Linked DNA regions of Bombyx mori. The protein of the gene in region 3 purifies or fractionates together with the protein of the main gene of each other region. This does not show direct contact. Links are inferred from orthologs where the notes say so. Each region holds a gene or a part of one and is shown on either strand. Other genes may lie near its edges.

Region 1 (4,329 bases), on a different chromosome or scaffold from region 3:
CGGCGAGAAATTCAATGGGTATATTGCTACCATTTCCATTATTAGACGACTATTTTTGAACCCCAAAATTGTATGGAATGTTAAAGCGGTACACATATATAATTATCAACTTTTATATATAAGCATGAACTTAAGTAGGTGAACCTGTGTAGGAACATGAGTAGGTTCCAAAAGATTGCAATATGCGTGTGAGTGTGTGTTAAACATACGGACAGACATACTTAGGTTGATCAGATCCAGAATCAGCAGGTGTATCTTTACTCTGAGTTTTAGTTGTTTTTGCGGGAGCTGGTGTACTATCGGACTCTTTTACTGAAAAGAAAACATTAACATGAGTTTTAATGAGAGATAAAATTTAAATTGGATCTCACACTGAATGCCAACTATATTTACAATGGGAACTCATTTTCCTAAATACCTACTTGTTTTGTCATTATAATTTTTTTTTTTTTTTATTTGCGTTAATAAACCAACTACCTGTTGGAATACATCTTTTTAGTGGGTCGAGAACTGAATTGCATTCTTATGACAGCTGTCCTATCCTTTAAATCAGCAACAAGCTGCTTCGTAACTGTATTAGTGAGGATATCTGTTCTTCTTTTAATAAAAGGATTTCTAAGTGCGGGTTGTATAAAGACACACACACAGTGAACTGCTTTGTTACCCAACACATGTTCTTAAGTTCATAATTAAATAATAAAATATAATAATAATAACAATAAAGTGAAACAGTGTGAACATCGCTTTGTTTGTCAAAACATATGGTTCGAAATAAGCAGGCCATTCCAGAGAAAATTTTAATGTGAGTAAAAGGAATCCTTCAAAATCCATCCCAGCTTCTCCTCGTTGTGATTAGATCCAATTTTATTTTAAACAAAAACTAAGGCGAGACAAAACTGACACACTTTAATAATTTGCTAAACAGAAGTAACATACTTTAGAATTGCTAATTTTTTTAAGTTACCTTTTGCTGACTTTCATCCACAAATAAAAAAAAAAAAAACACTAATTGGAAAGCATTAGGTTCCTGGTGTCCATAGCTTTGATACATCAATAAAAACACCATAATACTATAGCTATCGACTTCTTATTCATCTTGAATTTTTAGGCTTCCAAATCTAATAACCTTAGCAAGCTTCTGTTAATGATAACAAAAATACCTTGAGTACTACTCGCAGGGGTAGATGCTCTTGATTCTTCTCTAGCTGGAGTAGTTGCAGCAACTGCTGCATCAGATTTCCTACCCTTTGCGGGAGCTGCAATTGTATTTAATATTGCAGATTTTTAGACTGTTGTACAGAATGATCATATTGGTTTATTTAATTTTCAAGAATCTATTGCAAAATCAAGAAGTAATACCCATTAAAACTATAAATCACCTGTTGTCATATTTTTACATTTGTAACTATCACAAAAACTATAAAAGTATAGACAGTACATAAAATGCCAGGATGAACTAATAAAAATAAGAACAGACTTTTTCTTATCATGTCTACTTTACTGTCAAACTCGCAAAACTAAGAAAATGTTAATTTAAATAAATCAAAGTAACAACAATATCTTATACTAGTTCATACAGATTCTAAATCTGATTTGTTTTCCTATATATAAAAATTTAAAGTATTTTTCAAATTCATAAAATATGTACAAATCAACTGATTTTTAATCCTTATACTTGCACCACCCTCTAGAATTGCAAGAGACAATCCAGTGTTTAATGGTATTATTTCTTTTAATTATAAAACCAAATATTTCCATGGTTCCAAATATTTTTAAATGTAACTTAGAAAACGGTGTAAATTACTAACTTTTCTTAGTTTTAGTTGGTTGTGCGGAATGAGCTCTTTGGACTTCTTTCTGCCTTTGTACATTTGCTTCATTGTACTTCAGAACACGGCTTTCAGGCACCCATTCATCCCAACTGAAATAACATTAAGACATTTATAATATACAATTTGTATTTCTCTTTTCAGTAGTTTTTCATATCATACAGCTAAATAAATTTGGTTTAAATTTAATGTTTATTAATCTACTAATAATTTTAGTGGTATGGATTCAGTCCACTGTAATTTTATTATAAGTATTAAGACTATTAAGTTAGATTTCTATAAAATACTTTTAATTTTATTGTTAAAATATTTTGATGCAATCCTTTAATTTGTTTTTAAGTCGGTGAGTTTTTAATCTTGTGTAGTTTTGAACTTCATGTGTTCTTGTGTTATTATTGATCAATGTTATAATATATTATTGTTTAACAGTTTAACATTAACCAATAAAATTTTTGGTGTGGTGCTATATGATTATAATTTTGAACAGCAAAATAAAATACTGTGAATATCACTAAATTTCTTAACTTAAGCTTTATTGTATGAATTATAATGTATAGCTTGCAGGTTTTTATAAAATAATAGTACATACTTTAATGGTAGATACTAATTACTATTGAATCCTTTCAAGTCTTCGTGATTCAATCGGTCACCGTTCAACAAATTTCGTTTACATTACTTGTCTTAATTTTCGTCAAATCTGACATCCAAATGACTTACTTTTTGTTCCATCCCGCGTAATGAATAAGATACCTCACGTGTTTGTCCTTTGTAACTGAGCTTTTTAAACATTTTGCTTCATAAATTAGCGGTCCGTGGAAACATAGCACTTTTTCACCTGAAATTAAGGAATTTGCATTGAAATAAATTACGGTAAATAAACCGATAAATATTTTCAAATAAATTAATTGATTCTAAACATTTATACTGAATAGTGTACTAAAAATAATTTACCTTCAGCAAATTTTAACTTTGGTGCCATTGCTACATAATGTGATTATTTGTTTACAGTTTACAAATGGCTGACTGACTTGTGACTTGAGTCGTTTAATTTTTACAAAAGAGGAAAGGCGAAGGTAAAAGACCATACTGCCAAATGTTTCCTGTGTTACACATAAAATGAAAATAAAGTTAATTTACAATAATAATTAACTATAGAATTATATTTTAACCTGCTTTATACATATTAAGCTATATAAATTTAGGGCGAAAATGGGCATCCTTGTTAACTAGTCAGTTTTGCCTTAGGTAGCTGTGTAGCCATGGAGGATAGAACTAAGGAATATCATTTTGTATAGAGGACAAGTTGAAAAAGTCTCCACCTCTAAACGGTAAGATATTGTTCGAAGACTCACCGAAATATCGCTAGTATAGAAAGTGCAAATGATATGAACACAGCAGTTTTAAACAAACTGAAATGTACTAGATGGCAGTGAAGGCTATGTTCCGATCATTAATTGAAATTCTGGAACTATTCAATTTGTCTATGTGTGTTCTCTGTATTTGTATTACGCAGCATTATATTAAAGTTTTATCTAGTCTTTGCTACACATATGGAGGGTAGAACTAAGAAGTACCATCTCAGTATAATAAAAAGTGTCTGCTGAAAGGAATATAATTAAGCTGGCGCCATAGAAGCAAGTGGAAAGATTTAAAAAACAGCGCCATAAACTACCACCCTTCGGTTATGTTCTAGCTTGCACTGCGAGTACTGTAAAGTCGGATGTCAATATAGCGAAGCTGTTCCTTCATAGTTAGATATATTGGTTACTATTTAAAACGGAACGCAGCATAGTATACTGTCATCACATTTTTTTTGCGTTGTTTTCACTTCAACAAAAATTAGCGGTTTCATATACAAACTGTATAACATGGGACTACAGACTCGTGCTCATCATACGAGACTTGTTGAATTGTTCGTTTCGATATTGAGTAGAGGGAGCTCACTCTCGCCCCCGTCATCTGACGGCCAGAGTCCCACAAGGCTCCGCGCTCTCCCCGTTATTATGTAGTTTGTATATCAATGATATACCCCGGTCTGCGGAGACCCATCTAGCGCTTTTCGCAAATGACACGGCTATCTACTACTCGTGTAGGAAGAAGTGGCTATTGCATCGGCAATTCCAGATCACAGTAGCCACTGTTGAATAGTAGTTCTGGAAGTAGCGCATTGACATCAACCCCACGAACAACACAGCGGTGCTCTTCAAAAGGAGTCGCCCTCCGAATACCACTTCGAGCAGCCCATTCCCTAATAAGCGCGTTAACACCTCCGCGTTCGCCCGATCACTCTCTTTGGCCAGCCCATACAATGGGCCTCGAAGGTCAAACGTTTAAGCGTCACTCTCGGCAAAGGGACGACATTCCAACCCCTCAATAAAAACGGTACCGGTAAAATGGGGCGATTAGGGATTGACAGGCGAATCGGGAAAAAACTGGGAAAATCTTTCGACACTCAATATAAGTTTTATATTCGTTGCAAAATCTTCCATTTTTTGTAGTT
Region 2 (3,653 bases), on a different chromosome or scaffold from region 3:
CCCAACCATTTTTGAAGAAGCTGATAACTGGTGATGAAAAGTGGATCACGTACGACAACAACGTGCGAGAAAGGTCGTGGTCAAAGGCCGGTCAGGCTTCGAAGACTGTGGCGAAACACGGGTTAACTCGCAACAAGGTGATGCTGTGTGTATGGTAGGATTGGAAGGGCACTATTCATTAGGAACTGTTACCACCAGGCAGGACCATCGATTCTGAACTCTACTGCGAACAACTGATGAGATTAAAGCAAGAAGTTGAGAGAAAGCGGCTGGAATTAATCAACAGAAGGGGTGTGGTTTTTCATCATGATAACGCTAGACCTCACACATCTTTAGCCACTCAGCAAAAATTAAGAGAGCTTGGCTGGGAGTTGTTAATGCATCCGCCGTATAGTCTTGACCTTGCACCTTCAGATTTCCACCTGTTTCGGTCTCGTCAGAATTCTTTAGGCAGTGTCAGGTTAACATCACGAGAGGACTGCCAAAACCAATTGTCGCGGTATTTTGATCACAAGCCCCAAAATTTCTATAGCAATGGGGCATGTCCTTACCTACAAGATGGCAAAAAGTTATCGAACAAAATGGTACCTACATACTTTAGTTAAATGTAAACAACTATATTAAAAAATATTGTGAATTTTCTTAAAAAATGCGATGAAACTTTTCCCCCAACCTATTACAATGCGCTGTAGCCCAAATCTATAGATTTGACACGATTTATTGACTTAACGGACATCAATATGAGTGGTAAAATCAAATAAAATTGAACCACTAAATTGACCAGTACAAAAAAGTTTATTGACATTAGCTTACTTACTCCTGATACAGCATTAATTTTTTAACCGTTGTCGAAAAAAATCTTAACTCGAATTCACAATAAAACGCATATCTATGAATAATAAAACGCACATCCGTTAAATTGACAACACTGCCAACCTACAAAAAGAAGTTAGGGGAACTCCTTAGGCATAACTTTTGAATTTCTCTCAACGGAGTTGTCATGATTAAAGTGGGGTTGCAACCTGTCATCTTTATTTTGGAAATGGAGAAATTTCCAAAAGTTCAGTTCGATCGAGATTTCTGGTAAGGATTCGAGGGCCCCCTGAGCTCGAGGGCCCCGGGGCACTGCCCCGCCTAGCCCCTTGGTAGCTACGCCACTGAGGGCCAGTCGGTGAGATAGAGATTTTGACACTCGACAATTACGTTGTAATAAAAATTGAATTGAAATTGAATATCTTGAAATAAGAGCTGGTGTCGCGGTGGCTCAGTGCGCGTACTGCTTGTGTCCAGGACTGGAAGCTGGTGAACTCCATCTCGGCGACGGAGCGGGTGGCGCTGTGGGACCGGTTCGCGGGGCCCGTGGACCAGCACGCCATCAAGATAGACTTCCTGCGCCGCGCGAGGAACCCCAACCCCAGGTTCAGGTGAGGGCCCGCTCCGGACCCCGGCTCCCACTTCTCTGATCCGGCCCCGAGAAGCCCCCAGTGCGAAGGGCTCATAAGATCAGCAATTTCGCTGTCGAATTCTATATTATCGGATAAGAAACTTTATGGTAATAAAAATATAATATATAGTTTAAAAATTTTGAAAACGCATATAATTAGCAACTCGAACTATTTTTATTTTATTTTTATTACTTAAATGTGTGGACGAGCCACTAGGTGTTAAGTGGATTTCGGAGTCCATAGACATCCACAGCGTAAATGCCGCCACCCACCTTGAGACATGAGTCCTAAAGTCTCAGTTTTACAGTATAGTACAACGGCTGTCCCACCCTTCAATCCGAACCGCATTACTGCTTCACGGCAGAAATAGGCGGGGTGGTGGTACCTACCCGCGCGGACTCACAAGAGGTTCTACAATCAGCAATTACGTAAATTATAATTTTGCGTGTTTGATTTTTATTACACAATGTACCTACACTTCACCATGGAAAAAATTGGTAGACCCCGCGGGATTCGAACACCGGTGCATCGCTAGATACAAATGCGCCGGACGCCTTATCTTTTAGGCCACGACGACTTCAAACTAACAATTGAATTATTATTTTTTACATTCTGTTGGTTCCGGCCGGGACAGTAGAGCCGAGTCGTAGCGCGGCACACGTCCAGCTAGTAGAGGCACGATACCAATAAGCAGTTGTTGTTGATTAGAATAAAGATCCCGGCCCACGTCCGCGGGCGCGTGCGCGTGCCGCCCATGGTCCGCAGCCACTACCGGCGCCCCGCCCCCCTGCTGCCGGCGCGGAGGGAGCACGTGCGCTGTCGGAACGGTGAGTGGACCATAAAATAAACGATATATGACTATATATATAACGAACTATAACTTAAAAAAGGAATGCAAAATGGCTCGCTGGTCCCGGTGGAGATAAACTGACAATGGAAAAATATTTTTTCAGTGTTAAAGAATCTGGGATTATCGAGTGTACTGGAGAGTGAGGGCGAAGAGTGTCGGAAGCACACCATCTGTATGAACATGGAGTGCCCGTCCTACAGCGGCGCCGCCCCCTGCCCCGCCGCCGCGCCGCACTCCCCCGCGCCCCGCCCCGCGCAGGTACTCACGCAACCTCGCCGCACTCGGAGACTTCTATCATTTCCACTATGACTATACTAAATTGGTAGAGCTAATTCACACCGGCGCTGGTGTCGCAGCCGGCCGGCGGAACGACGACATTAACGAAAGTACTTTGTTCGTTCCAACGAAAGAGTGCAAAATAAATAATCTAATTGTCTAATTACATTCACTGTCCCGCCCCAGGCGAGTGCGAGCCCGGGCTCGTCGGACTACTCGGACTCGGACCTGGAGTACTACACGGCGTCAGTGAAGAGACGGAAGGCCACCGGCGCCGAGGACAAGGGGTTCGGCCGGCGAGCCCGCGCCGACCGCGTGCAGCTGCGCGCCGACGAGCACGTGGAGCAGCTGCTGGCGCTCGTCGACGAGCAGCTCAAGAAGCTCGACGAGAGACTCGTGAAGCTGCTCGCCTGGCAGCGGCTGCAGCAGGTGCTGGCGGGCGAGGCGTGCGCGGGCTGGTGGCGCGACGTGCCGCTCTCCCGGGCCGTGGCGCGCGCGCTGGCCAGGCACCTCACGCGGGGCGCGCTCGCCGCGCACGGGTGAGACCCACTCACTATTTAACAAGTTTGTTTTGTACCGGTGCGCCGCCGCCCGTGCGTGATGACAGCGAGCACGTCCCCGGCAGGTTCCGTCACGTGTCGCTGCCGTCGGAGCTGCTGTCCCGGGCGGACCGCGAGCGCATCGCCCGCAGCGTGTGGGGCGCCGCGCCCGCCCCCCGCCCGCCGCCCCGCGCCGCCCCCCGCGCCACCCCCTCCCCGCCGCCGCCGCGTGCGCGCGCCCTGTCCGACGCGTGCGTGCGGGCCACACTCTGTGCTATCAACTCTATGGACAGGTAACGTGAGGAGACACGGATACCGGTTAAGTCCACGCGCAAGTAGTGAACTTCAGCACAAAACCAATATGCAATAGCCTGCACGGGCAGATCCCACCACCCTACCCGTGTCTGCCACGAAGTAGTAATACGTTTTGGTTTGAAGGGTGGGGCAACTGTTGTACTGTAAAAATTGAGGCCTTAGATCTTATATCTCGAGGAAGGTGGCATTATGTTGTTGATGAGCTCCGGTAACCCTTTAACACGAGGC
Region 3 (4,156 bases):
AGTAAAATAACTACGTAAAGGATTTGTCTCGTTAAAAGTTATAGGCGACTTCGCTAAAAGTTCCATCGTTAACGTTTCAAAAGCTACTTTTACATTCGTACTTCCAACCAAATGTCACTTCGCAAACTTATAATTGGCTTCACACAAAATTTTAACCGGTACGTAATGTATGTTCGCCTAATAATAAGAGAAGGTTATAGATTTTTTTGTGTGGGCAATTATAACCGCTGCTACATAACAGACGGATGAACAGAAAACAGTACATATTCTTCTGTATTCTTATTTTTTTTTATTGATTAGTTGGATGGACGAGCTCACAGCCCACCTGATGTTAAGTGGTTACTGGAGCCCATAGACATCTACAACGTAAATGCGCCACCCACCTTGAGATATAAGTTGTAAGGTCAGTATAGTTACAACGGCTACCCTACCCTTCGAACCGAAACGCATTACTGCTTCACGGCAGAAATAGGCAGGGCGGTGGTACCTACCCGCGCGGACTCACAACAGGTCCTACCACCAGTTGTGCTAAGTGCCAAAATATTAGATAAAACTAGTAAAATATGTGGTAACTTTACCTCAATTAAGCTTTAGTGACAATGAAAAATTATTGCCAGCTCGGTAGGCAATCTACGGGCTAATAGTTGAGCACAGACAATAAATTTTCACACCAGTATCGCTAACCGCCATATTGTGCAATCAGATCCGTCGTAATTCACAGCAAAACGGTTTCTATGCAAATCGGTGCCATCAAAATGATTAAATGCTTTTATCTGAGCATTTGCTATGTTCAAAGATTTATATTGTTGTAGGTTTTTGCATGTAAGTGGAAATGTTTTATATATTATACAAAAAGGAGTCGGCGAAAACTGTGTATATAACTTACAGCTAATTTATTAGAAATATTTTAAAATTGAATTTGAATATCTGACCTGATGGCGTATTAGGGCCTTGAAGCTGTCAATGTGCCTTTTTTTTATTTTTTATTTGAAGGATAAACAGCCGATAAAGAATACAACCTAGCTTTCTGTCTCACGTGTCATGGTTGATAGTGGTGGTAATGAGTCCGCACGGGTAGGTACCACCATCCTGCCTATTTCTCCCGTGAAGCAGTAATGTGTTACAGTTTGAAGGGTGGGGCAGCCGTTGTACTGTAAAAACTGGGACCTTAGAATTGATATCTCAGTGTAGGTTGCGGCATTTATGTTGTAGATGTTTATGGGCTCCGCTAACCACTTAACACCAACTGGGCCGTGAGCTCGTCCACTCACTTAAGCAATAAAAAAAAACGACAGCGTAAATATATTGTCTCTGGTAATTAGTTAAAATGAAGTATGCCATAAATTGGTGCTAGAGAAAAGAATAATGGAAAATAGGGATTATAGTTGCATTAATACTTGTACAGCTTTCTTTGTTTCTAAAATAAACGAGTACAAGTTGCATAAAAATTTGTAAAATTCCAATCGATTCTTTTTTAATCTCTCATTACATGTAGACAGGGAAGGCCTCACACAACAAATTTTGTTTAAATAAAATATAATGGTGAGCGCATTCTTTGAGACTATATTTGAGTGAAGCTACAAAAACTACGAAATGTAATATTACCTACCTACCTAACTAGGTATCAGACATGTTTGCAACGATTTAGACAATTTTGTAGACAGCGCCATCTAGCAGTAATTTTAAACACTAGTAAATTTCCAGTTAGACGCAAACAAATTAGTTTTAAAACTGAAAAGATCAGAAAATTGAGATTAAATTGATAGATTGAATCATTTTTGTTTGCTCGCTTTCATATAAATTTATTTTGTGAAGACATCATGCGTCTATCGATAAAAACTTTAGAATCAGCGGAGCAACAGAACCATGACTTAAGCGAGTGTCAACTGTCAGCTATGTTTTGATGAACATTGAACAGAGTGAACAGGCGATAGATAGATAGACAGACTTTGTTTTGGTTTTGGATTTGAACGCGACGATTTGTTTATTTTAGAATATTTATCTATTTAAATTGAAAAAATACAAACATAATGCCAAAACCGATTTGCAGTCAATGCGGAACCAACGATTCTATGTTATGGCGAAGCGCAGAAAACGGACAAATCTGTAATGATTGCCACTTTTCAACGGTGACACCGAAGGAATCAAAATTGGACAGCAGTATTAAAACCGATTGTGAAGACATTAAGGAAGACAAAGATAATGGTAAAAATGAGGAGTCTACGCCGGCTAAAGCTACCGGCAAGGGCACTAGGAAAAGCACTAGATCAACGAGATACAAACCTAAAACACCTGCTCCACCGCCATTGAAGCAGCCGGCGCCGCGGGGCAGAGGACGCAGGAGTCTATTCAAAAGGCAGCCATTGAAAGCACCAACAGCTACAGCGACTGTTGTTACAAGTGATTCAGTATTTTATCAGGTCTGTTCAATTATTTAATCCAATTAAAATCTGTAGTTAGATATACAACAGCTGTAGAAATATACCTTTTTTTTTATTTTTCAATAATCTTGAGGCTATATCGCATACTAATTATAGTTTAAAAACTGATTAGAGATTAATTTAATTTAAAAAACCCTAACTTATTATTCACAGTAAACATGAAAACTTGAAAAATTACCTCGGTTCTGCTTTGAATAGTCTGTGGTAATTTTTTCAGGGTATGTACATGCAAGTTGGTGATATTGTTTCGATGACTGACATTGATGGTGGCACATACTATGCCCAAATTAGAGGCTTCCTAACTGATGAGTACTGTGAGAAGAGTGCAGCTGTTACTTGGTTATTACCTACAAAAGCGAGCCCACCTCCAGAGAAATGTTTTGATCCTGCTACATATATCATTGGTATGAGCTTTTAATAATATTTTAATTAGAAATACAGATATTTGCAACAGGCAGAAGTAGGTGATTAAAGTATTTATTCAATATCTAAGGCATTTTGGGTGATTTTTTTCATTTTGTAAATTTAGTGCTTTAGATTTTCCACTTGTAATAATAGTGACTCATTAAATGTGTATTCGATCAAAGCTCGTGAATAGCAGAAAACGAAATAAGTCGCTTGACACGGCATTTCTAAAAAGCCTGCATTGTTTGATTTCACTTCCTCTCGTCTTGTTTCAATCTATATCATGTAATTTCATCCCAATATAATGAATATAATGAAATAAACCAACTTAATTAAATTCAGCTTAATTTTTTATTTTTATTTTGTAAATATGATTTTTACTAACTCAATACTGGCAACAATAGCATCACGAAAACTCAACTGCCATATAGCAAAAAAAAGAATAGTGTATATAAAAAATGTGACAGTTAAGGTTAATATTGCTGTAAATTTTCAGGCCCTGAAGAAGAGCTGCCTCGGAAACTGGAATACATGGAATTTGTGATGCATGCTCCATCTGATTACTACAAAGCGAGCAACAGTCCATACCCACTGACTGATAATGAACTGAATAATTATACTGGTTTTGTATGGACTTCGATGGAAGCTAAAGAGAGAACGTAGACTTTTATATTTAAGCAAAGTGAACATTTTGTTACAAAAAAATACTGTTTATGTTTAGTTTTATTACCCCATATACCCCGTAGTTAACATTTATTTAAATTTAGAGCACAATTTGAATTTCGATATCATTCACAGTTATAATTTTTTTTTTTTTTTTCCCTACCTAAGCTGATAGCCCTAGCGGCTGTCAGCGTAACCCTAACTTTAGTAGGTGAGCTCACGGGGCTCAAACCTGACGATGTTGCTAACACGAACCCTAGCAAGAGCCGTGCTTCGCAGAATCTACCACCGGATCGGAAACGCGACCCACTGAGAAGATCCGGCGAGAAACTCAGTGGGCTGTGTCTGAGAGTTAATTTACTCGTCGAGCCCTTCGTCGCAAGCGACGGGTTCGACGAGAACGGTGACCGGTGCTTTAAGTACCTAAAAGCACCGTTAGTGGATCAGGAGGATCCGAGATGACGTGTTTTGGGCGACGTCGACTGCTTTCCATTCTGTCCGCAGGATCGGGAATGTAGTTACCAGCGGCCACGATGAGAGGGTTCTCGTGTCGTGCCGCTTTATCGAAGTGGACAGTTATCAATCATTCAATAACACACATCATTCACTTTAATCATTCAAACCAACCAACATTTTTTTTCCTCCAG

What was found.
Region 1: the proteins of GATA zinc finger domain-containing protein 1 (region 3) and mrg purify together in Homo sapiens (affinity purification with mass spectrometry; 7 studies listed by BioGRID and IntAct, counting the BioPlex papers as one, with this or other methods). This does not show direct contact. The link is inferred for Bombyx mori from reciprocal best matches to the Homo sapiens genes GATAD1 and MORF4L1.
Region 2: the proteins of GATA zinc finger domain-containing protein 1 (region 3) and PHD finger protein 12 purify together in Homo sapiens (affinity purification with mass spectrometry; 7 studies listed by BioGRID and IntAct, with this or other methods). This does not show direct contact. The link is inferred for Bombyx mori from reciprocal best matches to the Homo sapiens genes GATAD1 and PHF12.

What each region holds. Positions count from the first base shown.
Region 1 is NC_085127.1:11,194,311-11,198,639, reverse strand, and holds the start of mrg (mortality factor 4-like), read right to left. Parts: upstream 2,836-4,329; 5' UTR 2,809-2,835; coding exon 2,781-2,808; intron 2,665-2,780; coding exon 2,547-2,664; intron 1,922-2,546; coding exon 1,809-1,921; intron 1,257-1,808; coding exon 1,161-1,256; intron 313-1,160; coding exon 222-312; intron 192-221; exon of another isoform or gene 1-191. UniProt on the Homo sapiens protein: Component of the NuA4 histone acetyltransferase (HAT) complex which is involved in transcriptional activation of select genes principally by acetylation of nucleosomal histones H4 and H2A.
Region 2 is NC_085122.1:14,111,552-14,115,204, reverse strand, and holds part of PHD finger protein 12, read left to right. Parts: intron 1-1,290; coding exon 1,291-1,424; intron 1,425-2,153; coding exon 2,154-2,272; intron 2,273-2,398; coding exon 2,399-2,553; intron 2,554-2,757; coding exon 2,758-3,110; intron 3,111-3,196; coding exon 3,197-3,403; intron 3,404-3,653.
Region 3 is NC_085134.1:2,611,151-2,615,306, forward strand, and holds GATA zinc finger domain-containing protein 1, read left to right. Parts: upstream 1-1,493; 5' UTR 1,494-2,030; coding exon 2,031-2,420; intron 2,421-2,658; coding exon 2,659-2,845; intron 2,846-3,342; coding exon 3,343-3,509; 3' UTR 3,510-3,560; downstream 3,561-4,156. UniProt on the Homo sapiens protein: Component of some chromatin complex recruited to chromatin sites methylated 'Lys-4' of histone H3 (H3K4me), with a preference for trimethylated form (H3K4me3).